3 linked regions of the Arabidopsis thaliana genome follow. The protein of the gene in region 3 interacts with the protein of the main gene of each other region in a pairwise test. Each region holds a gene or a part of one and is shown on either strand. Other genes may lie near its edges.

What was found.
Region 1: the proteins of CYP96A4 (region 3) and MGT5 interact in a protein complementation assay, tested with the Arabidopsis thaliana proteins (one large-scale study listed by BioGRID).
Region 2: the proteins of CYP96A4 (region 3) and AT3G19300 interact in a protein complementation assay, tested with the Arabidopsis thaliana proteins (one large-scale study listed by BioGRID).

Annotation. Positions count from the first base shown.
Region 1 is NC_003075.7:14,119,351-14,128,975, forward strand, and holds MGT5 (magnesium transport 5), read left to right. Parts: upstream 1-4,138; coding exon 4,139-4,427; intron 4,428-4,506; coding exon 4,507-4,913; intron 4,914-4,994; coding exon 4,995-5,249; intron 5,250-5,377; coding exon 5,378-5,653; 3' UTR 5,654-5,739; downstream 5,740-9,625. Other genes in the region: AT4G28570 (Long-chain fatty alcohol dehydrogenase family protein), read left to right, coding at 198-407, 537-2,573; MRL7 (polyadenylate-binding protein 2-binding protein), read right to left, coding at 6,017-6,120, 6,210-6,321, 6,454-6,538, 6,784-7,478.
Region 2 is NC_003074.8:6,686,969-6,697,974, forward strand, and holds AT3G19300 (Protein kinase superfamily protein), read right to left. Parts: upstream 6,413-11,006; 5' UTR 6,243-6,412; coding exon 6,158-6,242; intron 5,865-6,157; coding exon 5,313-5,864; intron 5,128-5,312; coding exon 4,843-5,127; intron 4,766-4,842; coding exon 4,504-4,765; intron 4,422-4,503; coding exon 4,369-4,421; intron 4,289-4,368; coding exon 4,221-4,288; intron 4,130-4,220; coding exon 4,040-4,129; intron 3,943-4,039; coding exon 3,858-3,942; intron 3,786-3,857; coding exon 3,274-3,785; 3' UTR 3,150-3,273; downstream 1-3,149. Other genes in the region: ABF4 (ABRE binding factor 4), read left to right, coding at 988-2,106, 2,294-2,365, 2,461-2,490, 2,739-2,816; AT3G19310 (PLC-like phosphodiesterases superfamily protein), read left to right, coding at 7,292-7,375, 7,514-7,636, 7,730-7,867, 7,989-8,087, 8,172-8,475, 8,564-8,787, 8,863-8,949, 9,043-9,225; AT3G19320 (Leucine-rich repeat (LRR) family protein), read right to left, coding at 9,427-9,994, 10,192-11,006.
Region 3 is NC_003076.8:21,241,520-21,251,464, forward strand, and holds CYP96A4 (cytochrome P450, family 96, subfamily A, polypeptide 4), read right to left. Parts: upstream 5,256-9,945; 5' UTR 5,101-5,255; coding exon 3,592-5,100; 3' UTR 3,457-3,591; downstream 1-3,456. Other genes in the region: LTI78 (low-temperature-responsive protein 78 (LTI78) / desiccation-responsive protein 29A (RD29A)), read left to right, coding at 1-296, 381-1,807; AT5G52330 (TRAF-like superfamily protein), read right to left, coding at 6,077-6,206, 6,295-6,398, 6,506-6,875, 7,028-7,183, 7,328-7,460, 7,531-7,599, 7,691-7,779, 7,884-7,995 and 1 more; EXO70A2 (exocyst subunit exo70 family protein A2), read left to right, coding at 9,283-9,441, 9,605-9,700.

The sequences.
Region 1 (9,625 bases), on a different chromosome or scaffold from region 3:
ATCTACTACTAATCTACTATTATCGTAGTCGTACAAATATTATAACTAGTGAGACCCACCAGCAGAAACAAAACACAAGGAAGACTTCGTGATAACGAGACTTGTCTGATTCTTCAATAAGCTCACGGATTTCTCCTCAAAATCCTAATCCAATCATTTCTCCAATTCTCCAAGGAGTTTGGTAATACACAAATAACATGGAAGACGTTAGAAGAAGAAACAGAGGACATCCTCTGCTCAGATCCAAGAAGAGAGGAGAAGGCTACAACCATGGCTTCTCACCGTCTCAGATTCAATCTCTTGCCGTCATCTGTCAAACTTTCCTCCCTCCGGAGACCACGTCGGAACAGCAAGCTGTTAATTCCTTCCACGTAGCCTCCTCTACTCAACCACCATTCACTGATGAGGTTCTCTCTCTCTATCCTCTGTTTCTAATTTTGTATTCAAGATCTTGCTTCGATTTAGGAATAGTTCTATTATAGATAGTGAAGTTGGTCATGTTATTTTCTTGTTGTTTGATTTGGATTTAAATCTAGGTGGCGGAGATGATAGTGAAAAACGGACGATCAGAAGCAGTCAAAGTTTTGAGAATCATATTGATGATTTTGTCATTCAGATTTGGAACTTTGTTGCTTTGTGGGTCTCTCTGTCTTGATAAGAGTTGGCCTTTTGTTCTTAAATTCTCTCAACTTCCATTGGATAAAAGAGAAGCGATCTTGAGAAATTGGTCTAGACAAAGTGGATTCCTTCTTCCATTTCGTATCACTTTCTTCCTTGCAAAATTCTACACCCTCTTCTACTTCTTCTCCCAGACGGATGAGAATCTGAAGAATCCTGCACTGGAAGCTATAGGGTATTGCATCGATGGGACAGAGAGAAGTAGCAACAAGAAGAGTGAAGCAGATGAGAAGCGACGACCTCTAGAGAAAGGGATCATTGAAACTATGCATGAGAGTGACGTAACCATCACACAATCTCTAACTGAAAAAGGTGTTCATGTTGCTAGAGACGATGGTGACAATGTGTACAGGATCAGATGCGATGCGGTTGTTGTAGGCTCAGGAAGTGGAGGAGGTGTTGCAGCTGCAAACCTAGCTAAAGCTGGATTGAAAGTCTTGGTTCTAGAGAAAGGAAACTACTTTACAGCTCATGACTATTCGGGTCTAGAAGTTCCGTCTATGCTCGAGTTATACGAAAAAGGCGGCCTTTTGACTACGGTTGATGGGAAATTTATGCTCTTGGCTGGTTCAGCTGTTGGAGGAGGTACAGCTGTTAATTGGTCTGCATCTATAAGGACACCGGATCATGTTTTGCAGGAATGGTCTGAAGGGAGTAAGATCAAGTTTTTTGGTAGCCAAGAATATCAGTCTGCAATGGATGAAGTTACGATAAGGATTGGTGTCACGGAAAGATGTGTCAAACACGGGTTTCAGAATCAGGTTCTGCGGAAAGGGTGCGAGAGACTCGGTTTGCAGGTAGAATCAGTTCCAAGGAACTCACCAGAGGATCATTACTGTGGCTTGTGCGGGTATGGATGTAGAGCAGGAGCCAAGAACGGGACAGATCAAACCTGGTTGGTTGATGCTGTAGAGAATGGTGCAGTGATCCTGACAGGGATCAAAGCTGAGAGATTTGTATTAGTAGACAACACTAGTAGTAGCAATGAGAGAAAGAAACGATGTGTGGGAGTGTTTGCTAGCTCTGTTGGAGGAAAGATTGGGAAGAAGTTTATTATCGAAGCTCGAGTAACGGTTTCATCCGCTGGATCGCTGTTAACACCGCCTCTGATGCTTTCGAGTGGGCTAAAGAACCCGAACATTGGAAGGAACTTAAAGCTGCACCCGGTTCTGATGACATGGGGATACTTCCCGGAGAAAGATTCTGAGTTCTCCGGGAAAATGTATGAGGGAGGGATCATCACGTCCGTCCATCATATGAATGATACTGAATCTGGATGCAAAGCAATACTGGAGAATCCACTGATAGGACCAGCTTCTTACGCAGGGTTGAGCCCGTGGGTTTCAGGACCAGACCTTAAAGAGAGGATGATTAAGTACGGAAGAACAGCTCATCTTTTTGCTCTGGTTCGGGACTTAGGGTCAGGTGAGGTTATGATGGAAAACGAAGTTACATACAGGACAACCAAGAAAGATAGAGAGAATCTGAGGGCAGGTCTTAGACAAGCTTTGCGGGTTTCGGTTGCAGCTGGTGCAGTTGAAGTCGGAACATATAGGAGTGATGGACAGAAGATGAAGTGTGAGGCAATTACTAAAGAAGCCATGGAAGAGTTTCTAGACGAAGTTGATGCTGTTGGTGGGGTTGGCACAAAAGGAGAGTATTGGACGACGTACTTCTCGGCTCACCAGATGGGTAGTTGTAGGATGGGAGTCACCGCGGAGGAAGGTGCGTTGGATGAGAATGGTGAGAGCTGGGAAGCAGAGGGGTTGTTTGTTTGTGATGGAAGTATATTGCCATCAGCTGTTGGGGTTAACCCAATGATCACCATTCAGTCTACTGCTTACTGCATCTCCTCAAAGATAGTTGACTCGCTGCAAAACAAAACAAAAGTATAGAGAAGTAAAAAAAGAAAGAACTGAAACCATCCCATTAGTATTCATATCGAATAAATATGTTTTTCCTTGCAAGACAAATTTTGTTTAAGAATCATGGAATAACTTATCTTGACGACAACAAAGATGTAAACAAATGATATATCATATATGCACCAAGATTCAAGAACGTTAAAGCTGTTTTTTTTTTTGTTTTTTTTGATAAACCCTATCGGCTGATCTGGTCAGCACCGGTAGAAATGCACCGAAATACTTCAGAATGGACTTCTTTCCGAAGGACCACCTCACTATCTGTCCCGAATTTGGATGCCTTCCGACTAATGCCAGGGGGTAATCAGGCCGCCTGTATTTCTGCCTACTAGATAAACCAATTGGGCCAAATCCCAACTGACAGAATTCCCAAACAAATGTGATTTTTGTTTCAGAGAGGATCGAACCCAGGTCTGGAAGTTTCACCCTTCCCCAAATCTTCTCCTACCACTGGACCACAGATGCTTGGGCTTAAAGCTGTTTGTTTGTTTTTTTTTTTTTTTTTTTTTGTTGTTGTAAAGTTTACTATGTTTCTTAAAATTTTGTCGTCAAAATGTAAAGTTAATATTTACGTGACTATACTTAACTTTTATGAAAATGTAAAGGATATAGGAATTTCCTTATTAACATACAAACGGGAGCTGTCTATAAAATATAATCGTCTCGAAACGAAGAAGAACGAAACATAAACAAAAGTGACTAAACAAAAAAATCGTTGTGTTGCAAAGAACAAGATGAATAGTGCTACCTCATATGCCATAGCCGTAATCGTTGTCTTCTTCGTCATCCTTTCGGCTATTTTGTCGTGCTGGTTTAGAGAGATTCTAAATTTTTTTAGAGACAAGAGTACGACTGATGTCTCTGCGAGTGAATAATTCCCTCCGTCGATTAAGGTAATCAACATTTTTTCTCTGAAAAGTATAGTTAATAATTGCAGGAATTGTGATGACTAAATAGTTCTTTTTTTTTGGTGTGGATAGGAACGATTATTTTGGAGATGCAAAATCAGAGTAGGGCGGGTTGTTGAATTTGTTTTGTTTGTTTTAGTATGACTAATTGTTTTAAGGGTTCTTTATTTTTATGCTATAGATTATTGAATTATTAGATTATCCTTCAATAGTTGCATCTATCGTGGTGTATTGTTTGTGTTTGGCGATTTTACATACAACAGTTATCCAAAAAAAAAGGATTCTAACAAACAAACACTACAAAGATTATGCAAGATCTCCAAGATAATTCCACAAGAGTTCATACTTATCTTGATAAAGAAAAACGTAATATCTATGATAATATGCAAAACTATTTACAAGTTTTAAGAAAAGCAAAAAATCAATTAAAAAATCACTTAAAAAAGACTTTATATTAGTTAATAACTTAATAAACACTTCCCAAACCTAAATGCACAACAAACGCATGGCCGAAACCGAAACGAAACACACAACACAAACCCTGCTCGGGTACGTCGTCGGAAAAATAGAAAGTCAAGCAAAAGCGGCAGGACTCGGCGGAGAGATCTCTGACCAGCTGCAGGTAAGTCAATGGGATCACTTCGCCGTAGTACGAGCAACCGCAGCCGGAAGAAGGGTACGGCGGTGAAGATGAATAGGATGCCTTCATCTCTATCGCCTCCTACTCCGCCTTGTAGTGCAATCGTGGGAGGGACGGGGAAGTCAAAGAAGAGAAGAGGAGGAGTCTGTCTATGGACGAGGTTTGATCGGACTGGATTCATGGAAGTGGCTGGATGTGACAAGAGCACCATCATCGAACGTTCTTCTGTTTCGGCTAAGGATTTAAGAACTGCCTTCTCGCACTCTTCTAAAATTCTAGGTATACACACGTTTGTGTCTTTTTTGCTGACTAGTTTTCACAACAGACAATAACAAATCCATGTCTTGCTATGACGCAGCCAGAGAGAAAGCTATTGTCCTGAATTTAGAGGTCATAAAGGCGGTAATTACTTCAGAACAAGTTATGTTGTTGGATTCTCTCCGTCCTGAAGTTCTTACACTCACTGACCGACTAAAGCATCACTTTCCTCGGAAGGATGGTCCTGAAAATATATTGCAAGCTTCTTCTCATGGTCATCAAGAAGGTGGAGAAGAGGGTTTGAAGAGTAAGCTTCCTTTTGAATTTCGGGTACTAGAGATTGCATTCGAGGTCTTCTGCTCATTTGTTGATAGCAATGTGGTAGACCTTGAGACACAAGCTTGGTCTATTCTTGATGAACTAACCAAGAAAGTCAGCAATGAGAATCTTAAAGACCTAAGAAGTTTAAAAACTAGTCTCACCCACTTGCTAGCCCGTGTACAAAAGGTAAAAGGTTATTACCTTTTCCAATGATACTATAATGTTGTGTGTTGGACGGAAACATAAAAGCTATAGTACATTATTCAGGTGAGAGATGAAATCGAACATTTCTTAGATGACAAGGAAGACATGGAAGACTTATACTTAACGAGGAAATGGATTCAAAACCAACAAACCGAGGCAGCATCAAATAGCATTGTCTCCCAACCAAATCTTCAACGGCACACATCAAACAGAATAAGCACCAGTATGGTGACGGAGGAAGATGACATTGATGATATGGAGATGTTGCTTGAGGCATACTTCATGCAACTAGAGGGAATGCGGAACAAAATTCTTTTGGTAAGTAGTAAATGTACCTAAATAGGTCTAAGAAAACCATATAAGTTTTAGATGCAAGCTCGGGTTATGTTTGGTTGTTATGTGTTAATGCCCGGTCCTTGGTAATTTAATATTTTTTTGAATTGCAGATGAAGGAGCATATTGACAGCACAGAAGCCTACGTGAAGATACTACAGAATAGTAGACGTAACGGACTGATCCACCTAATGATGCTTGTGAATATAGGCAATTATGCAATAACTGCAGGGACAGTGGTGGTCAACTTGTTCGGTATGAATATACCAATTGGATTGTATAGCACACCTGACATCTTTGGTTACGTTGTGTGGGCTGTCGTTGCGCTTTGCATTGTGCTTTTCATAGTCACCGTTGGTTACGCCAAGTGGAAGAAGCTACTTGACTGATAAGAGACTAAACACATTAGGTTTAGTCATTATGAGATTAGCTTTGTGGAATTCATTTTTTTTTTAGTTTGCTTTTTCTTATTGATTCAATGCTTTTGTTTTTATGTTATGGATTTTTGCATTAATAGTTTATCCTTCAAACAATTTTTCTATAAAAGGAGCTGGCTTCTTGATATATGTATGCATCATTGGTTACGAATCAACGTGTTAGGGAAAGCACAGATTGACGAGTAAAATCCATTACTTGGGAACAAGTTTATATTTGCATAGAACATACAAAAATGTTAACAATCTATGAGTGAAGTTTATGTAAATTTTCCTAGACTGACCTTTTGAGTGAAACTACTCTATGCCCGTTACAAACTAACAGTACGGGGTTACATTAGCCTTGTCGACACACGAAGGCCTCTTCGCTTTATAGTAGAAATGCGCAATCATATGAACCAATTCATCCGCCGTGCGAAAGTCTGCATCAAGTTCAATACGCTATGATAATCTATTGCTCACACATATTGCAAAAAAACATGAAAACAACGTTAGCAACATAGCTTATCACCTTTCTCCCTGTACAGAATCCGGTTTCCGCGTAAGAAGAGAATCTGTGGGCATTCCTTAGCTTTAAGAGCATATGCCAAATCTGTCTCGATGTTCAGGTCAATCTTAACCGCCTGTTTCATAAAACATGGTGATTCTTGTTAACAGAGAGCAGCCACATTAACATGTAATCACACCAAGAGAGATTAGTACACAAAGAGTAATGTTCAAGTTAAAACTGCAACTAGAGAAGGCTTTCGACATACCCGTGGAGGTAATCGATCTTTCGCATCCCAATAAACTTTGATAGCTTTCTCAAGCTCCTTCAATGTCTTCCAGTTATCACTAGCTCTATAAAACGCACAACAACTCAAAAAATTATTCCAACAGTAGTAGATTTTGGTCACTCTAAGAACAAGTTTCAGTTTTTATACTCATTGCAGTTAATTGATCATGGAATCTAACTCAAATGGCTCTTTCAACTTGTAATCATAGTCTAGATAATGTTGTGAAGGAAAAAGAACAAAGCTTTCATAGTTCTACTATGCACACCAAGTGTTTGTGAAAATTCGTCAATGAAATAACAAAGCTTATACCTTTTGTATCGCTCGAATACAAGGACAACGAGTGGACTAGGATGAAAAGCAAAGCTTTCCCATTCCAAACAATTGATCTCCTTGACCCAACTATCATCAATCTCACCTTCCCAATCAATCTCACTCCCATCATCTCCAACCACGTTTTTGATTGGATGTGTATCGAAATACTCCGAAGCTTTGATTCCCCATCCAACGTCTGTATCTACTGGCCAATCTGGATCTTCCTCTTCCACCACCATCTCTTCTTCTTCTTCCTCTTCTTCATCAACGCCTCTGTCTTTGATGAAATTCGCCTTCTCCTTGTTCTCAAAAACCTCCGGATTCTGCTCCTTTATGGTGGAGAAAGTACGCTCGAGGGAGCTTCTCACGTAATCTTCCACAGCGTCTGCTTCACTCCGCCGCCCACGCTTCGATTTACGCGGGACCTTTGTCGGAAACTTTTCATTGTTCTCGGTTTCAGCAATTGGCGTAACTGCTTCCTTATTTTTGCGACGGGACCGAGTTTGATTTTTGGATTCAGGGTCTAGTACGGAATCAGACGAAACAGCGGCGAAGCGTTTCACGCTCCGGGATGATATAGTCACCGGGAAAACAAATAGTGGGCTGCGATGCATATCAGAGAAGCTCGAATTCAAGCCGGTGAGAAGCATAGAAGATCTTGGCGCGGAGCAAGCAACAGCGAAGAAACTCATTTCTCTCGTTTCCTAAATTCAAAACGAAATTCGCAGAAATTTTTGGTAACTGAGTTTTTGCTCTTATAATCCACTTTGTCTGTATAATCCCGGTTTGGATTATTTCGGTTTGTGTTACTGTCCTTGATTTGGATCGGTTATCTTTCCCGATACTTGGTTTAGTTTATATAATCGAAACAGCGTCGTTTGAAATATTCATAATTTCATATACCTAGCTCCTCGCCTCCGTTAATGAAAAATTTGAAATATTTTTGGCAAATTTTAAAGTTGGATATGTTCTTTTTTTGGCATTTTCCCATTTCGTTATGTGATCACAATATCCATAATGTGATCACAAATTAGAAACATTGATAAAATATGTAAACTTTACATAGTCATAAGATCCTAAAATGGAATATTTTCTGACCTCAAAATGTAAACTCGTTAACAGTACACATACTAGTGTTTAAATATAATTTGTATGCAAGAAGAAGAAGCAGACACGATATGGAGAAGATTATTTTGGGATGCATTGTGTTTTTGTTGGTGTTCTGTGCCGTGTTGATTTGTCGTCTCTTACGTTACCTTTGTGAAAAACGGTGTGAAGAACCTAATAAGGTTTCGCACACACAAGAAAAAGAATCTAATAAGGATGACGTATTAATTCGAGGTACGTCTATTGTCTAACTGTTTTGTTTCGAGCTAATATATAACTTTTCTACAAAGTGAATTTTTCGATTCTATTTCTAATCTTTTAGTATCATGACAGCCTCGAAGACACAAACATATAGACCGCCTCAGGTGACGACGGTGTAGCCCGAAACCCGTAAACAAAAAGAACAACGTCTTTTCTACAATCAATTAAATATTTTTCACTTACCTTCAAGAAAAGTTTTTGTTTTGTGAAATAAAAGAAAAGTTTTTAGTGATTGTTTTTGACATTGTTCTCTTATTGTTTTTATTTTTATCCAAGGTATATTCTTATAAAGTTAATTGTTTGCGGTCTAATTTATTACATAGTACGATCTTTGTCAATGGGTGGAAGATATAAAGAAATTCTTCCTATAGTTTAGAATGTGTGAGTAAGATAAAATCGGAGTTCATAAACTCGATTGCCAAATCTTTGGGGTTAAGAAGGCTCAGTTTAGACGAAATAAATTTATACAAGTTAGAATAGATGATATTGTTAAATTGTTGGATCATATGGAATTCACAAATTAAAGCCTAACACGTGGTCACTGATCACTGGTTTCACATGCATTAAGACTCGTGGCCCATTGAAAACTGCAATGTTTTATTGTATAGTTGGTTCCATGTGTGAATGTAATTTTGTTTTGTGTTTCTTTTATATAGTTTGCATAAAAGCATGTGTTTTTATCTTCTTTATTAATAAGAAGTAAAAGAATTCTCGATTTCTTACACCCAATCTGTTACAGTTACACAGTACACATATATCTTCTTGTAGGTATTTTCATTTTTCAGTGACGTATTAATATTTGTAAAATGGAACTTCGATGACTCAAAATGTAAATATGTGTACTTTCTTTCTTGAACTCTCTTTTATGGACCTCACACCAATTTCATTGAGGTATGCAATACTTTTTCACTGAGGAATATTTTAACGAGTCTACTCATAAATCTCATCATATAAATTTGTTTTGGCATTAAGTTATTTTTATTATTGGTCGTCTCACGTCTGCCATGTTATTATGACATATATTCATAATATATATTAAAGATTGATATGAATATTAACTTACTAAGTATGGATGAGATGTTTTTGATAAATATATCTAAATGATGTAATTAACCATATATTAAACTTCAAATTTGGAAGTTGATTTTCTACATTTTACCAATTGACAGCTAGTTTTATTTATTCAATATCTACTTTCTATACATCCTTATAATGTCCAACTTTATAACCTAAACATCTACCTAACAACTAACAAGAGTCAGTACTCCCTCGATTAGATGTCTCCACACATATTAATAGATTAAAAAATGACAAAAATAATTCAACCTTCAAGATACATAATGTATTTTAAAATTCACTTTTTTCATGTTAATAGTAACAACTATTAGAAATATAAATGGTAAAATATCTAAAACATCTACAATTAAAAACTAACAAATTTAAATGAATCATGATATGTTGTTAATTTCAC
Region 2 (11,006 bases), on a different chromosome or scaffold from region 3:
CCACGTCGCATTCTTAATTGGATGTAAGTCTTTACAAGCACTTAAAACATTAAACTCTTTTTTCTCATTCGTCCACGTTTCTTTTTAAATTAATACTGTTAACAGATAATTATTCACAAAAAAATAATATCTGAAGAACAAAAAAAAAGGTTTCAGGGCCTTAAAATGGCTGCTCGTGTCGAGGCGGCAGCAACACACTTGTCGTCTCTCCCTGTAGCTTCTCTGGAGTTTTCGCAGTCACGAATCTTGTTTTGAAGAAATTAATTTGGTAAAACATATTTTCGAGCTCCTTTCTCTTTTATTATCCGTTTTCTGACTTCTGGATCTGTCTTTGTCGGATCATCCAATTTTTTTGTTGTCTTTCCTCTGTTTCGTTTATGAATCATGATGATGTACATGTTGTAACTGAAGTAACTTTTGGTTATCAAATTAGAGTTAAAGAGAGAATTTTTACGAGATATTTGTTATAAATTTATCGATTTGATTCTTGTTGCTATTAGGGTTTTGTCTATTTGATTCGATCGGGTTTTTTTTAAGAGAAATGGGTTGTGGAATCTGGAATAGATCCTTCTCATGCTTGTTGGGTTTTGCTGATTTTCTCGTTTTTGGTTTTATGAGTAAACTCTGTATCTGGTGTGAATTCGTTTTCCATCAAAAAAAGTCATCAAATTACGTTTTTTTATAAACATTATCCAAAGATCTGACCTTTATTGATTGACTTTACTGTGCTTTTACATTTGTTCGCACGCATTTATGTGGTTTGTCCAGTTTCACTTTAGTATTCTTTCTCTTATATGGATGTGAACATGCATTAGTGACACATAGTTCACTCCTTTTTATTTTCCTCGGAAGTTCTCTTTTTCATGGATTCTTAGCATTATGTAATATACACTCTAACTGCTTTACTTTGATTTTAGAACAAGGGTTTTAGGGCTTGGATGCTTTGTTTTCATTGAAAAAGAAGTAGAAGGAGTGTATACAAGGATTATGGGAACTCACATCAATTTCAACAACTTAGGAGGTGGTGGTCATCCTGGAGGGGAAGGGAGTAGTAACCAGATGAAGCCAACGGGTAGTGTCATGCCCTTGGCTAGGCAGTCCTCGGTCTACTCCCTTACCTTTGATGAGTTACAGAACACACTAGGTGGACCGGGAAAAGATTTCGGGTCGATGAACATGGATGAACTCCTGAAGAGCATATGGACTGCTGAGGAAGCTCAGGCCATGGCCATGACTTCTGCGCCAGCTGCTACAGCGGTAGCGCAACCTGGTGCTGGTATCCCACCCCCAGGTGGGAATCTCCAGAGGCAAGGTTCGTTGACGTTGCCTAGAACAATTAGTCAGAAGACTGTTGATGAGGTGTGGAAATGTTTGATCACCAAGGATGGTAATATGGAAGGTAGCAGCGGAGGCGGTGGTGAGTCGAATGTGCCTCCTGGAAGGCAACAGACTTTAGGGGAAATGACACTTGAAGAATTTCTGTTCCGTGCTGGGGTTGTAAGAGAAGATAACTGTGTTCAACAGATGGGTCAGGTCAACGGAAACAATAACAATGGGTTTTATGGTAACAGCACTGCTGCTGGCGGCTTAGGTTTTGGATTTGGTCAGCCAAATCAAAACAGCATAACATTCAATGGTACTAATGATTCTATGATCTTGAATCAGCCACCTGGTTTAGGGCTCAAAATGGGTGGAACAATGCAGCAGCAACAACAACAACAGCAGTTGCTTCAGCAGCAACAACAGCAGATGCAGCAGCTGAATCAGCCTCATCCACAGCAGCGGCTGCCTCAAACCATTTTTCCTAAACAAGCAAACGTAGCATTTTCTGCGCCTGTGAATATAACCAACAAGGGTTTTGCTGGGGCTGCAAATAATTCTATCAACAATAATAATGGATTAGCTAGTTACGGAGGAACCGGGGTCACTGTTGCAGCAACTTCTCCAGGAACAAGCAGCGCAGAAAATAATTCTTTATCACCAGTTCCGTATGTGCTTAATCGAGGACGAAGAAGCAATACAGGTCTAGAGAAGGTTATCGAGAGGAGGCAAAGGAGAATGATCAAGAATCGGGAATCAGCTGCTAGATCAAGAGCTCGAAAGCAGGTGAATATAAATCTAACTAAACTTATCTAGTCCCTTTTGTTTGGTTTGACTATTATGGTCTTATATTTTGCAAGACTGCATTAAACAGAAACATAAAACCAGCAAAGATATCTTCTATCCCGAACCACTTCTTGTATTATGAAAGATGCTTTATCTTCCATGTTTTTTAACTATCCACTAATTACAGGCTTATACATTGGAACTGGAAGCCGAAATTGAAAAGCTCAAGAAAACGAATCAAGAACTGCAGAAAAAACAGGTTTCTTTCTGTTTACAACCTCTCTGTGTGTTTTCTGTTTTCCCCTATCAGACTTTTAGAACTTGGCTCTGATCCTAGCTTCCCCTGTATTGCAGGCTGAAATGGTGGAAATGCAGAAGAATGAGGTAATTGTTTAAGAACTTTTCTTTTCATTGAGTTCATTCTGAAACCCTTGACCATACTTGATTAGGACCAACATCAGCAGCAAAAGACTAAACTTAAGTTGTAGCTCTGATAGTGTATGTTGGTCCTTATCAAGTATGTCCCCAACTGAAGCTCAAACCTGAGATAGCTTTCGAACATTTCGTGGTCTTGCTTCGTTTTGAATAGCCTTTTTGATTGTGTTGTTCACTAGTATTCTTTTCAAAATTAGCAGCTGAAAGAAACGTCGAAGCGACCGTGGGGCAGCAAAAGGCAATGCTTGAGAAGGACATTAACCGGACCATGGTGAAGGATGAAGCAACAAGAACGGATGAACCAGACTCCTAGCTTGGGATTAATGTAATAGGATAGTGCTACCTGTACAGGAGATTAAGAGAAATTGAGTGAAAGATCTAGGTTACAGAGTAGGAGAGAGTTTTCATTATGAATAAATGACATTTTGTGCCCTGACCTTTGTTAGTTTAGGTTTAGATTATCCTCTGTTATTGACTTATTGTGCTTTCTGGTTGTTAGGGTTTCTAAAAGACATAGTTGTTTATATATATGTCTGACTTTGTATTCCGGATTTGGTTCTCTTGTGTCATTAACTTGGGTTTAGCCATTATTACTTAAGAGTGGCAACGAAATCATTCTTGACTCTGGTTGGAAAACATATGTCATCTTTCAAAACTGCAATTAGAAAACAGTTAGGATGATCCTAAGTGACAAATTTCTAGAAAAAATGTGACTAATTTGTCTCTGCTCACTCAAAAAGAGAGACCATTTGGTGGAGAGTGAGGGGAGCCAGTCTCAAGCAGAAAACTCCGGCTACAATGCGACCTTGAAGTAGTACTAGAGGAAGAAGCCAAGCCACGGATGTCTCCACTTTGGAACCCTGAGTCACCTCTCAGTGACCGTCCTTTGTTCTCTTCAACTGCCATTGCAAGCCCGAGATGCAACGGATCACAGCTTTCGTACAACAGCCTCAGAACTTGCTTGATTGATGGCCTAGCCACGCCTTCTTTCTCTGTGCACCATCTTACAACTGCCACTACTGTTTCAAGCTGTTCTCCATCTATGCAGTCTTTGATTCTCGGATCCACCAGATCTATGCGTCTTGATTCTGATACCAGCAAAGGCTGAGACAGTTCTACCAGGTTCCTACCTTCATCAACCGCTCTTTTCCCAGTTATGATCTCTAGCAACACCACTCCGTAGCTGTACACGTCGCTTTTCTCTGTTAGTTCATGTGTTACAACGTACTCTGGATCTACATAGCCTGAAATTCAGATTTCATGGTTTTAGATTTTGCTCAATATTTCAAGAGTAGTTAATTCCTTAGTATCCTGACCTGGAGTTCCGCGGATATCAGTATTAACAGGTTCAAAACAAATGGAGCCATCTCTAGAAGCATGTGCAAGGCCAAAATCTGCAAGCTGCACCACATAACCCCACACCCACAGGTCAATTCTTTAAGAGGTAAAACGAATTGATAAGTCAGTGACCAGTTGATGTGAAAGGATGCAGACGCACCTTAGCAACAAAGTGCTCGTCGAGTAATATATTGCTTGACTTAATGTCTCTGTGACAGAGGGGAGGGTCACAGTAGAAGTGAAGGTATTCCTGCAGGAAAGGAAGCATATCCAGTTAAGAACTAAGAACAGTAATAATAATATAAACCATAGACTAGAGTATCAGTTTTATGGAAATTTACCAGAGCATTAGCCACATCAATTGCGATTTTCATCCTTGATTCCCAACTTAGTGGAGATTTTTCCGTGGCTGCAGAGAGGAATAACAACGTTCAAGATTCTTAGTCAAGTCTAAAACAGAGGAATGCAATCTGAAAATCATGAGCATACAGTGTAGATGATCCTTCAGGCTCCCATTTTCCATATACTCGTAGACAAGGAACCTGTAATTCTCAGGTTAGATGAGCAAAGGGCAATCCACACAAATGGGGAGAAACGAAATGAAGGTCAACCGTAATCATTCACCTCTCGTTCTTCTTATTACAAAACCCTTTCAAAGCAACTAGGTGGCGGTGATGCAGCCTGGCGAGAAGCTCTATCTCTCTGCAAAATTCATCTTCAGCTTGTTCAGAGCTCTTGTTCATCTTTTTTACAGCTGCAACCAACCCATTACTGAACTCAGCTTTGTAAACAGTCCCAAAGCCCCCACGGCCAATCACCGCGTTGAAATCTTCAGTTGCTTTCCTTATCTCCTTGTAGCTGAATTTCCGAAAACCAAACGAATTACCTGAAAAATCAAAACCACACATTTGTTTTACATGGTCTAACATCCCTTGTTAGTGTACCATCAGAAGAACTCTTCACCTTCATGAATCATCGACCTTGGGCGGGGAGAAGGAGATGTCCTTGTTAGATTACAAGCGATGCTCTTGGAGTCATCAAGTTCTCGTTTTTTTCTTTGGATAAGAACTATTAGGACTACAACCATCACAAGAGCAAAAACTGTGACAGCAATCCCAATAGTCGGAACCATTGTCAAGTGATATGGATGGTGACTTTTTAATGGAGACAAAACAAGATTATCGCTGCTTGGACTATCAGCTAACACTGGAGGAGAAGCTTCTGGACTCAGCGATGATGGAGACGAACCTGAGTAGATGTGTCAAGAAAGTCAGAAAAGAAAAGAAAGTCCAATCTTGATCTGATACTAAGAAGATTATACAGGACACACTAGTAATATATACAGGATCTGTCAAGCATCTTTCCCAATATAGAAACAATGATAAGATTCTACACTCCATGAATGGTATGTTGACAGAGAAAACAGTATATACCTGGAGTGGGGCTAAGCTCAGGCACATTAAAGAAGCAGCTAGCTAGTTCAAGAGCCGATGAATTGTCAACCCGGCTTGCTAACACAGCATAAGTTGCATCACGACAAGTACTCAGTTTGATGCTATTATCAGCACCAACGAGGCTCCTAAGGTAGCTGATACTGGAATTCAAACAATTCCTGCATTGATCACCCGGAGGAAGCGGGAGTTTGCAGTTTCTGGAAACATCTCCAAAACTTGTGGAATGAAGCATTGGCGGTACAGTAGTCAGACCCTCACAATCATAGTTAACAAGAATCTTGGTCCCTAATCCACAGAAGATGGTAGCATTTCTTGGGATTCCATAAAGCTCCATGGTTCTAGAGATAGTAGTGATACAGATTTCAGTCAAATCTGATGTAACTCCAAGATCAGCTGTGTAGTTTGCATAGCGGGCGACAGATATTGCAACGAAAGCATTCATGTAGCGGCAGCATTTAGCTCTCTCGGTGTTGTTCGAGCATACGGAAGCCACTAGAGTGAAGTTAGATGAAGTAAAGTCCAATGGACAACCTGTAAACACAATATATCACATAACTTTGCTTCAATTTTGCAATAGTTTCTTTCTCTCAATGAAAATCTCATCAAAGACTACGACTTTAAGCAACGAATTCACCACAAATTAGAACAAAGGAACACACAAAACACTTTAATGCACATCGAAATTCGCACAAAGCTTAAACCTTTCAGAAAAAGCAAGATTAACAACAGTTCGTTTTCTCTTCTTTATCTAGTTACGAATCAAACCCATGGAAGAAGATTGTCAAGGAAGATTCTCAAAAGACTGATGTGGTGAGAGACAAAACCTGCTTCGGTGAGTAAAGGAAAGTACTGGAATCCAAGCAATGCGAAGAATGCGAGCAAGAGAGCTTGATTATAAACCAACACCATGGCCAAAGAACAGAGAGAGTCGTTAGGAGAGGTCAATGAGAAGTCGCCTGAAGAGAATATGACAGTGGAAGAAGGTCAGTGACAATGAGATGGAGAGAGAAAGAGAGAGCCCCCAACTTTCTCTATTTCTTGATGAAACCCATTAAACCCCTGAATAATCCTTAAATTTGTCATTCTCTTATGTTTTTACCCGAAAGTTCGTTGTAATAGTTTTAAGCACCCCCATACAAATAAAATTACTAATTTTCGTTCAATAAAACTTTTCATGTATAAACATAATCATTGCAGTGGTCGGTTTTTAAGTTTCTTTTTTTTTCTCTATCTTATCTCTTCACATGATTTGGTTCCACAAAGAATATTAACAACTCTTAGAAACAATAAGCCGCTATATGTTTTCATCATAAAACACCTGTAAAATGTTAACATACGGCGGACACCTAAATGTCAAACTAGATGATAGTATGGAAGGAATATTAAAACTTCTCCAAATACTTTATCATATGGTTTTTCTCTCATGTGTGAGGTTAGTTTTATGATTGATTTGGACCGGCACAAAACGTATTTAATTTTCATAAGACTAAAGTACTTTATAATTTTAGCTGGCATGCTAATTAACTTGATAGCATTTGATTACTTGATAATGATGACAGTCTCATGCAAGTTCTTCATTTTTTGGTTAAGTTTATTCTTTAAAATGGAATCAAAGAACCATTTCATGTAGGATGGCATGTTAACTTGTTAAGTATAATAATAAGAACAAACCATAAAGGAAAACGAGAAGCCAATAAAGAACTCTCTTCTATAGCTATTAATATCATCATTGTATCCTAGATACTCGCGATTCCTCATGTTATTTTTTGTTTGAAAAGATAAATTTAGATTTAAGTTTTTATTTACCGTTTTTTGTTGGTTGGTCAAAACAACTTGTAAATCACCCGTTCCAAGTCTTTTGGAGTTTTACCAAGTAGTTGCTTCTTCCCAAAGTCAAAATCTTTGGGTTTTTATTCTTTTAAACTTCTTTATGGGATTTTGGTGCAAGAAAGAAGAAAATGTTTCAGAGATTCACCTTCTTTCTAACAGCTCTTCTCATTCCATGTATTCTAATTATCCTTAGCCCTTCATATGCCCTCAAGGTAACTTAATCTGAACAAATCTTTCTCAACATCATCAAGAATTGATCATAAATGAGTCTAACCTAAAAAAACCTAATGGATCGTCGGTTTCAAGAAAATTTACAAAACAAAAGTGTTGATCTTTGTGTTGATTGGTAGGAAGGAGAAACATGCATCGTGAGCAAGAATTGTGATCGGGGATTACACTGTGAATCGTGTCTCGCCAGCGATAGTTTCCGACCTAGATGCTCCCGAATGCAACCCATTAACCCGACCACCAAGGTTTCTTGTTTATGTTCTTTTCATTTAGTCATTAATATTCTTAATATTTGTTGAATCTACTGATCATTATCTTTTCATGTTTTGTGTCAAAAGGTAAAAGGGTTGCCTTACAACAAGTACTCATGGTTAACAACCCACAATTCATTTGCTCGAATGGGTGCAAAATCAGGCACTGGCTCTATGATTCTTGCACCTTCCAACCAACAAGATTCAATCACAAGCCAACTCCTTGTAAATATTCTTCTTCATCATAATAAACCCATTTCAAAAGTTTTATTCTTTTGATAAACCCATTCCAAATGTTCCATTCTTTGATTTGATTCTTATGTTTACATTTTTTGGGTTATTACAGAATGGTGTTAGAGGGTTTATGCTTGACTTGTACGACTTCCAAAACGATATATGGCTTTGCCATTCTTACGGTGGAAATTGTTTCAATTACACCGCATTCGTAAGTTCTATATAGATTCTTATAACTTGATCGGTCCAGTGTCGAAAATAGTTCTAATTAATTTGTTTTTTGGTTTGTATGTAGCAACCCGCGGTTAACATTTTAAAGGAGTTTCAAGTGTTTCTAGACAAGAACAAGGATGTTGTTGTAACGCTTATCCTCGAGGACTATGTGAAATCTCCTAATGGTTTAACCAGAGTGTTTGATGCATCCGGATTACGAAACTTCATGTTTCCGGTATCAAGAATGCCTAAAAACGGAGAAGATTGGCCTACTCTTGATGATATGATATGTCAGAACCAACGATTGCTTGTTTTCACGTCTAATCCTCAAAAAGAAGCGTCGGAGGGAATTGCGTTTATGTGGAGATACATGATAGAGAATCAATGTGAGTTCGTCTCCAAATATACTAATACATCATATTATGATAAGTTATTATAAATATGAAATATTGATATAATGTTATGATTTTGTAGATGGAGATGGAGGGATGAAGGCTGGAGTGTGTACCAATAGACCGGAATCAGTTGCAATGGGAGATAGATCAAGATCACTTATTCTAGTCAATTATTTTCCGGATACTGCAGATGTGATCGGATCTTGTAAGCAGAACTCTGCTCCTCTTCTTGACACCGTCAAAAACTGTCAAGAAGCCTCGGGAAAACGTTGGCCTAACTTCATTGCAGTCGATTTCTACAAGGTACGTTTTGGTGAGATTTGGATCCGGTTAATGTTAACATTTGTGTAATGTTCATGTATGTGTGTGGTGGTTTAGAGAAGCGATGGTGGAGGAGCTCCAAAAGCAGTGGATGTTGCAAACGGTCATGCAGTTTGCGGCTGCGAAGATATAGCCGCTTGTAAAGTTAGTATTATATGATTATGTAGTACTCACTATGTGAGTTATGCTATTATATGTAATGAAAAATTGTTATTTAACGTTTTTGACTTTGTGCAGGAGAACATGCCATATGGGACGTGTGAGAAGCAAGAAGAGAAGAAACCGGAATCAAACCTAATGATGATAGCAAAACTTACCGCGGAAGCGACTAAAGGCTATGGCCACCCATCTACCAAACCGACCCTACTTGGGCTTTCTGTGTTTGTTGTAACCTTTGTCTCACTTCTCTCAACTTTTTGACTCAAATGATTTACTTTATACAAATGACAAAACTCTAATCTAACCATGTTCCGGTTCGCAAAGAACCAACGAAAACAAAATCTATTTTACTTGTATAGTAGTCACCTAAAATACACATACAAAAAGAAAATGCATTTATTCAATAAGGGGTACTTACAAATATCAACCATGTATATCATTTTAAAAACAACTTTGTTTTAGCTAGAGATTCCGAATCCGGTCTGGGTTAAGAGCATTGTAAGATACCGGTGGCGAAGCCTGACCGTCTGATCCTTCTTGATCCGGTTTAATCCGGTGGGGATCTTTGCCACAAGGGAGATAAAAGAAAGACTTAAAGTTAGGACAACTCTGTTTCCGCAAGAAAAACTTGGCGCATTCCCATGGTGTTCTTTGATTCGTAAGATCTAGAATACAATTCATACCCACATCAAGAATCTTCCTCTTGATGAGTGTTCGACATTTTGGACCGACCTGTGTGAAGTAATTGTACGAGAGAGAAAGGTTCTTGAGGGCTGAGAGCTCGCAGACAATCTCCGGTATAGTACCGTAGAAATTGTTTCTAGCCAAATTCAGCTGCTCCATCTTCTTTAGGCATCCGAAAGAGTACGGAATCGGACCGGTTAACTGGTTTAACTCAACATCGAAAACCGTAGCTCGGTTAAGGTTCCCAATTTGGTACGGTAAGCAACCAGTTAACTTGTTATTCAAGAAAAGGACTTCTTGTAGGGACTTGATGTCACCAATGCTTCCCGGAATAGGACCTGTGAATCTGCATCACATCACATGTAATTCCCCCCAAAAAAATAACTTTAGAACCTTAAAAATACAAGATACAATTCACAAATATCTCGTGACATCATAATACCAAACTTGAAATAAAAACAGAGTAAATAACTCTGTAATTTGAAACAGAGTAAATAATTCCCTGATAACAAAACGAGAATGAAAGTGTGGAGCTTTTGAGACCTGTTATTAGCGAATGTGAGGTAAAGAGCGGTGATCGATCCAAGATTTTCAGGGAGTCTCTGAACAAGATTGTTGTTGTTGATGAACAATACGTCGAGGTCTAGATTGAAAACCTGAGGAGGGACAGAACCGGAGAAAGAATTGAATCTGAGATCGAGAAACGTGAGGTTCGTTGCTTTTAACACAGAGCTTGGGAACTCTCCAGAGAGCTTATTGTTGCTGAGATCAAGCTCGAAAAGGTACTTCAATTTGCTGAAGTTTGGAACAGAGCCCACAAAATTGTTACTGTTTGCGTGAAAGATGGTGACTTCTTCTAACTTGTTGAGGAAGTTATCTAGCCGGAGTTTCTTGCCACCCAAGTTAAAATTGTTGAACTGAATGCTGGCAAGTGCGAGGTCGTTTGTTCCCGGTAACTTGGCGCACTCGAGTCCTATGTATTTGTCCTGAGCGCAAATGTCGGTGCCTACCCATGTTTTAAGTATGCTCTTTGGATCATCTTCGATTAGCGTCTGGAAATTCTTGATGACTGGATAAACTTTCTTTATTAATGGGCTTGAGAAATGTAGCGGCGGTGGCGGTGGAGGAGGAAGTGGCCGTGGTGGCGGTGGTGATGGTGTTATATAATGATGATAAGGAGGGGGAGGATAGTGTTCAGGCTCCGGAGATGGGGATGGAGGAGGGAGTGACTGTGGTGGCGGCGGGGGTGGTGGCGTTTGAGGAGGAGGAGGCAGCGGAAGATAGTCTTCTGGCTCCGGAGATGGCGCAGGAGAATTGTAATTGGTGCTATCACTGCCACCGCCGATGATGATTTCGAG
Region 3 (9,945 bases):
ATCGGACAAGGAAGAGAAAAGAGATGTACCGATTCATCATCCTCTGTCCGAATTGTCAGACAGAGAAGAGAGTAGAGAGACTCATCATGAGTCATTGAACACTCCGGTCTCTCTGCTTTCTGGAACAGAGGATGTAACGAGTACGTTTGCTCCAAGTGGTGATGATGAATATCTTGATGGTCAACGGAAGGTCAACGTCGAGACCCCGATAACGTTGGAGGAAGAGTCGGCTGTTTCAGACTATCTTAGTGGTGTATCTAATTATCAGTCCAAAGTTACTGATCCCACCAAAGAAGGTAAGAACTTTGACCTTTTAAGATTGTGTTTTTCTTTAGTGATTATGAATATGTAATAACTCTGTTACGTTGTGTTTGGTTTAGAAACTGGAGGAGTACCGGAGATTGCTGAGTCTTTTGGTAATATGGAAGTGACTGATGAGTCTCCTGATCAGAAGCCAGGACAATTTGAAAGAGACTTGTCGACGAGAAGCAAAGAATTCAAAGAGTTTGATCAGGACTTTGACTCTGTTCTCGGTAAGGATTCGCCGGCGAAATTTCCAGGTGAATCAGGAGTTGTTTTCCCGGTGGGCTTTGGTGACGAGTCAGGAGCTGAGCTGGAAAAAGATTTTCCGACGAGAAGTCATGATTTTGATATGAAGACTGAAACTGGAATGGACACGAATTCTCCATCAAGAAGCCATGAATTTGATCTGAAGACTGAATCTGGAAACGACAAGAATTCTCCGATGGGCTTTGGTAGTGAATCAGGAGCTGAGCTGGAAAAAGAATTTGATCAGAAGAACGATTCTGGAAGAAACGAGTATTCGCCGGAATCTGACGGCGGTTTAGGAGCTCCGTTGGGAGGAAATTTTCCGGTGAGAAGTCATGAGTTGGATCTGAAGAACGAATCTGATATCGACAAGGATGTGCCGACGGGATTTGACGGAGAACCAGATTTTCTGGCGAAGGGAAGACCTGGATACGGTGAGGCATCAGAAGAGGATAAATTTCCGGCGAGAAGTGATGATGTGGAAGTAGAGACTGAGCTGGGAAGAGACCCAAAGACGGAGACTCTTGATCAATTCTCACCGGAACTTTCTCATCCTAAAGAAAGAGATGAGTTTAAGGAGTCCAGAGATGATTTTGAGGAGACGAGAGATGAGAAAACAGAGGAGCCAAAACAGAGCACTTACACAGAGAAGTTTGCTTCAATGCTAGGTTACTCCGGAGAAATTCCGGTGGGAGATCAAACTCAAGTGGCGGGAACTGTTGATGAGAAGTTGACTCCGGTCAATGAGAAGGATCAAGAAACAGAGTCTGCCGTGACGACGAAGTTACCTATCTCCGGAGGTGGAAGTGGAGTAGAGGAGCAACGAGGGGAAGATAAAAGTGTGTCGGGTAGAGATTATGTGGCGGAGAAACTGACAACTGAAGAAGAAGACAAAGCCTTTTCTGATATGGTTGCCGAGAAACTTCAGATTGGAGGAGAAGAAGAGAAGAAGGAAACGACGACAAAGGAAGTGGAGAAGATCTCTACCGAGAAGGCAGCATCGGAGGAGGGTGAGGCGGTGGAAGAGGAAGTGAAAGGAGGAGGAGGAATGGTTGGGAGGATTAAAGGATGGTTCGGTGGTGGTGCGACTGATGAGGTGAAGCCAGAATCGCCACATTCTGTTGAAGAGGCTCCAAAATCATCTGGCTGGTTTGGTGGTGGTGCGACGGAGGAGGTGAAGCCAAAATCGCCTCATTCCGTTGAAGAGTCTCCACAATCACTTGGCTCCACTGTTGTTCCGGTGCAGAAGGAGCTTTAAGAATATGAGAACTGAGATTTTCAAGTTTCACTTTGGATGTTTATGTGTGTTTTGTTTGACGTCTTTGATGTATTATGGTATAATTCCTTGTTTGTGTGAAAAAAGGACATTTGGTTAATAAATTGTTCGGCTTTGGATTAAGAAGTTCCTCCATACCAGCTACTAGGTCTAAAGTGGGTAAAATCATTGGATTTATTCCCTTCAAAGTTCTTAGAATTATTCACAGGATTTTACATTATGAGCTAGTAGTGTGACTTGTTGAGGTGTTGTCTCTATCGTTAAAGTTCTCGAATATTTCTAGGATGAGAGCATATTTGATTTTGTTTTCTATAGTTGCTTTTGTTTGTTTTGGGACTCCCTAATAACTCATCAAAAGTTATACAAAAAAGAAACGAAAATATTTTTAATGATATTTCATTGTTAAAATCCACTAAATGACAATTACATAAGCTTAAAAGATGACGAATGTGATGTTTTTGTGGCTAAAGTTAGTTCTTTAAGTGAAAACTTGACATTGAAACGCTCATTATGGAAAATTATTTGTTGATTCAAAAAGGCCAAGAAACACAACCGACTTAATTAAGACCATCTCCATTGGTCATCAAAATAAAGAGTCTTTAAATATAAAATTAATAGAAATAAGAAAAAAAAAGAATTTAAAGAATCAAGGTGAGAAATGTGTCTTCCTATAGACATTTAAAATCTTGTAATGGTCAGTTTAAAGATCATTCCCTCCATATGTCTTGTTGTTAGTGGTCAGTTTGTTTTTGATATTAAAATATTAAATATGTTGATTTTGAGACATAAAAAAAATAATTTAGCAATGAGGATGCTTTAACTTGCATCACTATGAGGTGTATATTGTTTCTACACTGATTTTGGATATTCAATTTCACAAGTTTAGTGATCGGTTTGATAAAGCTAAATTCTGAACTACTTATTTTCACATCATCATCAAGTATTATTTCTTTTTTTCCATCATTTTGACAAGTCATGCTCATGAGATTAGTTAAGCTTTATCCACATCACTTTAGTTTAGTGTAAATATATTGATCATCAACTTGACATTTATTTTGATTAGGTGCAAAAAGATGAAAGATTTGTTAATTTAAAGAGTTTTGCTTATCTTGCTCCTGTGATGGTGGACAAAAAAAAAACATATTTTACATTCATCTTTGATTATTACCATTGTGATAACAAACAATCACTGAATATTGTATTTTAAAGTGAATAGCTGTTTATTGAAAATTAGGTACTGACAGTATTACAAACGAATACCTAAAATTTTAGGTTTATATTTGTTATGATTTTTTCATGTTTTCAATAAACTTTACATGTACTAAAATTTATGATATAAATAATTGTTATAAATTATGCCACTGCGGATGAAGGTTATGTTGATTTATGTAATAATAGTAGTTTTAAAGCAGTGAATGATAACTTGCTGGACTATATAGGTTTTTCATGCAAGTCCTATTACTCTCATCTCATCAGTTATTTAGAATGATGAATTTCCAGAGCCGCCATACTTTTGTACTTCCAAAGGGCTTCTACTCAAAGGTTGATGGGCTATGCGTTTCATTTCTGTGAAAATAACAAAGTTGGATAAGAGAAATATGATTTTAGATAGGAAAAATTAGCACTAATGGTTTCAAAAGAAACAAACTTACTTCATTTATTTTATTATTTTAATTTATATTATCATGAGGTTCTAAATCTTTACCCATAAATATTCTTTCACAATGGAATATTTTATTGTAACATAAAACAAAAATAAAATATCACTAAATCTTAGTGACACTAACTTTGAGACCATGTTGCATGCGAAGAAGAACGGAAGGAACTGGTTTTGGTTTGTGCCCTTCAACGACCTTAATGTCATAGTTTCTAATGATTTCGACCGCTACTGTCTTCATCTGCAAGAATGTTAATCTTTTCCCCAAGCAAGTTCTTGGACCAGCGTTAAACGCCAAAAACTTATATGAAGACTCTTGTCTCAACATTCCACTGTCTGAAATCCATCTCTCTGGTCGAAAATCTTCTGCGTCATCTCCCCAAACAGATTTCATCCTGCCTAATGAATAAATAGGGATTACTACCCTCCAATTCTTATCAACTTTATGACCACTTGGAAGCACGTCTGGCTTTGCCGGTGACTTGTGGTTGAATGGGACTGATGGGTATAGCCTTAGCGTCTCACACACGGCACCGTCTAGGTACACGAGCTTGTCTAAATCTGCCGGATCAAACTTTGGCATCTTCTTGTTAATCTCTTGTCGGATCTTGGTCATTGCTTCAGGGTTCTTAGAGAGAAGCCAGAAAAACCAAGTGAGAGCTGAGCTGGTTGTGTCTCTTGCCGCTATCACAAGACCCAAAATAGTGTCTCTGATGAATTTATCGTTACTCGGTTTCAAGTGTTTATATTTGGTCGTGTCTATAGTCATGTAATATGTTAAAACGTCCATGGCCTCTCCTTTTGAGTCATGAATCCCATGATTTTTGATCTCCTCTCGTTTAGCTGATATGATCTTCCCTAGCATTTGATCGAAAACGTCGAGACCTCTTCTCATCTTCTTCTCTATTCCTACACCGATCCAAGATTGGATACTCCACAGGAAAGCCGGCTTGAGATGTCTATAGAACATGGCATCTGCAACTCCATCCATCGCATCAGCGAACTCAACCTTAGGCATTTCAACGGAGAGAGATTTTGGATCATACCCAGCCATCAAAGTAGAAGATGTGTCAAACAAGAATCTCTGGAACAAATCTTGCAAGTCGACAAGAATGTGTTTCTCAACAGCGTTATCAAGAATAGGAACAAGCCCTTGACTTAATTTGCTTACGCTTGTACTCACCGAAAAACTTTGGAAATCTTGATGGCTGAAAATCGCATGAGACGAGTTTCTCATATCCTCCCACAAGCCCGAGTCAACGTTGAAAATCCCATCTCCCAAGAATTCAAAGATCTTGTTAAACTTCTTCCCTTTGGGGTAATTCACGAAGTTTGAACTTAGAATATACTGGATATTCACCGGGTCAACAGTGAGCAATATGTCTGTTCCACTAAGCCATGGCCCTATGAAACAACCCGTCATATTTTCTGCCTCAAGAGCCTCCGTAACAAAGTCGTAGATACGAGGGATTTGGAAGAGCACACCCGGAAGCATCCCAAGGACCGGCCAGTTCATGACCATATGCTTTGGAGTTTTCTTGTGGAGCGAGAAACACTGGTAGACAAAGAAGAAAATGAATGCGATGAAGATTTCAAGTAAGCCTATGATCATCGCCATTATTGCACACAAAAATGATTTTTTTTTTTTTGGTCAAACAAAATAATGGATTTTCATATGAGTGAGTTATTCATACAAGAACTCGTTTGCTATATATAACACATGTGTATATGTCATTTCAAATCATAGTATTGCTCTGTGTAAGAACATTTAATCACTGGTGTTTAGAAAAGTCAGAAAAGGAGTCTTGTATTTGTCAATTATTGAAGATGTTAAGTGGTGTGGAGTTCACTGGCATAATATTTTTTTTTTTTTTTTTTTGTGTGTAAACAACTTTTCAATCATCCTTTATTTTGTACATTTTACATCTATATTACAACGAGAAGTAATACAGAGATAACTCTAAAATCTCTTTACGATTCGAGTATATTTTTTCTGAAGATATTAAATTTTCATCATTATTTATATGATAATTATACTATTATTGTAACACGTTAATCAACATGATTATTCTATGGTTACAAACTTACAATTAGAAGTTATAACTATATAATTATAATATCTATATTATTTTGTGTGCAAAATCGTTAAAATTCACTTAAAGTGAACTATATGAAATTTTTTAATAGCATTGAAATTCAAACTCAAAAAATTATGTGCAATATAGTAGTACATAATTGCAAAAATCATCATATGGACTAAAACAATTTAGACATGTGTAGTATAATCGTCGAGCATCTAATGAAGAAAAAAAAACACATGTTAAAGAAGTATGCACCATCAAAATATTTTGGTGTCGGTACCAACTTTCACAACTACTAACCACAAATCTTAATGTGCACCATCATTTCATAGTCCAAATTAAATTTTAAAATACAGGGACCACCGGTTTCCATATTTGAATAAATTTAAACCAAATAAAACCAAACTTCTGCAAAATAACCAAACCAGACAATTTCGGTTCAACATATGGTCTAGATTTCTCAATACCGAAAACCGAAACAAAATTACGCAAAACACAGAAAACATTTCGAATCTAATTCAGTCTACATTTCCCAAAACCCTTTTTTAGCACTTTGCTCCGTTTTGAAGTTTCCTCTTCTTCACGGATAAGTTCTTCCTGCCTTTTAAGCGCAATAGCTTCTTTGTATGCAACCTCAATTTTGCTGCTCAGAGATATTGAAGTACAATACATAAGCACATCAAGTTAGAACACAATGGCATACTATATAGAAACAAATTATGCATTATTACCTAAAGATATGGTCAAGAACAAATATCTCCACAGTTCGTCTACCCCACTCATTTAAACATATCTCATAAGCTTCCTTGTTGATATCTTCTTCATCCTTGTCCTCCTAGATTTGCATCCAAGCAAAAAAAACAAAATTTATCAATACAAGTAACTTTCTAGTGGAAAAGTGCATAAGATAAACAATAACGCGGATAATGGAATTAAGCCGACCTTAATACGGTTTTGAAGAGCTTTATCATCTTTCGGAGGCAATGGCTCTGGAGCAGCCCTCTCTAGGAGTGCAGCCCTCTCTAGGAGTAACAACACATCATCATCAACTAATACGAACATATCTCTGTCCACTTTAACAAACGGAGCTGGCAATTCCTTGTCATCTAACAGTTTTGGGCTAGCTTTCTTGTTCTTAGTTTGGACTTCAAGATCCTTCAACCCATTATACAAGCAATCCATCGCTATAGGTGATGTAACAACATTTTCCATGAAAAAGTGTTTTACAAATCCTTTTAGGATTACGTCCATTTTCTCTCTAGACATCTCACGCCTAGAGTTTTTGTCCATTCCTAACCAGAAAACACCGAAGCTGCAACCAAGAATGCAAATTTATAATGGTCTCTAGAGACATGGTTGGAAGACAATATATTAATCTAACATGGCATGGTTTCCTCAAAAGAAGAGGTAACTACATTTATGGAATCTGGAGGAGTTAAGGGTACAAGTTGAAATGTGAAATACCTTGTCCATTTGGCCTTGTCCTCTATCAACTTCTCAAGCTTGCTTCTTCTCTCCTCCACAAAGCGTAGGAAAATTTGCTCTATATTTCGAAAATACACCCTAACAATTTCTGTCTTGTAACCATAATCAAGGAAGAAAGGTCGGTCCACCCTGTCTCTGCAAGGACCAATTATATGGCCGAGGAAATGAAAAAATATAACATATGAACATGTGGAGATGTAACTTGTAAGTATATGGTAGCATGGAAAAATGGACCGTGCATGTGGTAATATTTTGCTCATAGAGTCGGTCTTGCATTACCTGATCACCTGAACTTTAGTTTCAATTGTAAGACAGCCAGAATCATCTATGAAGCCATCCCGTAACTTCGGTAACTCCATAAACTTTTTCCATCCCCAATCATGTTCTTTCTTCCAAAACCGGTGCAGCGTATCTACAAGATCATGAATTCAGTTGTCTGGATATCGAAATGGAAGCAAGCAATTAAAGATTCGAAAAATCACCTGAAAACTTAGACTTCTTTGGATCTTTATGCATCACAGATATAGTAAACTGAGCCAACTGACTCCAGCCTGGTGTCCAAGATAGCAAAAGAATATATATCACTAAGTATCCAGAGAAAGAAAACAAGGACCAAGCAGACCAGTGGAAAAAAATACAAACCTGGAAGAAGTTCATCATGGTTTGCAACACAGAGAAATAATGAGAGATGATTGCTAACATCACATCCTTCTGGATACATTAAAATATGCCTGACACATTGAAGATAAAAGTAACAACACAAAGCCTTCAAAACCATTTCCAGAGTTTTTTTGAGACAAAAATTAAAGATGAGAAAGATATGCATGCCATGTACCAACTGTAGCCTCCAATTTCAAAAACACTGCTAGCGAACTCCCTTTTGCTGATTTGTGAAAATTTCTTAATCTTCCATGTATTTTTTCCATATAACTCAGAGGGTTTAAGACCTGAGAAAAATAAGAAATTTCACATTAAATTAGCTGAAAAAGAGAAGTATATTACTAAAACACAAAAACAAACAAACGGGTATAGTATCTATTAACATATCTCGAAAACCTTAATCATTTGTGGACGGGATAGTGGGGACGTTTTTGACGATATTCATAAAAAAAATCATATTGCTAAAACACATACCATACTCATCATCCACATCAGTCTTTGCCATTCTAAAGGATGATTTTTTCGTCAAAGCTCTCTTTTCTTCAACTACGAACAAAAAAAAAACTAACGATTAGAGCAAATAAAATTAGATTATTGAATTCTGTAATTCCCCCTAAGATGCACAATTCTATTATAAATTTATCGTAAAATAATATTATATGATTTGAAAAGTTCTAAAGAGTAAGACTAGCTGAAAAATCAATTGATTTGATCAAAAACTGAAAAATGAACAAAGAACAAGCACATAGGTTTGGATTATATTCAACAATCTGACTCCCTCAAAACTGTATCGAATTCATAGCTTAAATCGAAACCCTAAGAACCCCCATCAGATCATGGATGGGCAATAAACCCTAAATTCCAATCTTAAAATAAATAAATAGATTGTTAAAAAATCAAAGAAGGACCAGAAGTTCATTTCTATTATGAAATCAACGATCGGAAAATCATAACCACTCTCTCGTATTTAAAAACAAAATTAAAGAAGAAGAAGAAGATAGAGATTAACCATAGAAACTTTGATTCTGAGTGTAGAGACTCTAAAAATCCATCTCTCTATTCTTACATATAAGATGATTGTGATCGATAATAACGATGAAGTGTATCCTAAAAGATATTTTGTTTACCTAATAAAATATATGATTCTTTACCTAAATAGATGATTCATTTTTTGGTATGAGAGTAGATTTTGTTTTCCACTATGAGAAAGGGGTAACGATTTTTATGTAACAACCCCAAATATATTATAGGGAAAATATCTTGTCTATTTGTTTATTAAGCTTATATTTTTTTCCGCAATTAATAAAAACAAGTAGGGACCCACAAAATCAACCTAAAAATATGAAAGTAACGAAACCATCGCTTATGTGGTGGGGTCTCTCCAAGCAAAATCGCATGAAACTTTTTAATTGTATCGTCGTCTCACGAATCGTAGAGGAGCGTCTCTAACTACACCAACAAACACATTTACATTTTTCCAATCCTCAAAAAATTTCTGAATCTTTACGCAACCAAAACTATTCTCTATCAATTTTCACCATCTTCTTTTTTGTTCATCGATCCAAATCAAGAAAATGGGGGTGGCTCAAGCAATGGAAGCCCTAACCGAGCGAGCAAGTTTGATGAAAGAGTCTTTGCATAAGAGCCAGACCATCACCGATAACATGGTCGGAATCTTAGGTTCTTTCGATCATCGTCTCTCGGCTCTTGAAACCGCAATGCGTCCCACACAGGTCCTTTCTTCATGATCTCTCTGTTTTTTGGATTTTTAGAGTCTCAAGGTTGTGGAATTTGAGATCTATCTTCTGTTGAAATTGAAATGTGATTCTGGATTTGGTGATAAAATGGTTGGCTTCTTCGACGTTTAATTTTGGGGGTGTGATTGTGTTTGTGTAGATAAGAACACATTCTATAAGGAGAGCTCATGAGAATATTGACAAGGCATTGAAAGCAGCTGAGGTTATATTGGATCAATTTGATATCTCTAGAAAGGTTTGGTGTTCTCTTTACACTCACCATACAAGATTCTCCTTTTATTTGCTTGTCTTTCAAGCTATCATTCTGTTCCCCTTAGGTTTCCTCAAGTTAAGTGTTCTTAAGATGATAACTGTAGACATGTTTTCTCTAGTTGAAGTTACAACTGAAACATTTGTGGAGAATGCATCATGTGAACAGAGTAGCAAATGTCTGCTTTCTGATGCTGTGAAACTTAGGATTTAGGACCCAATCCAGTTAGA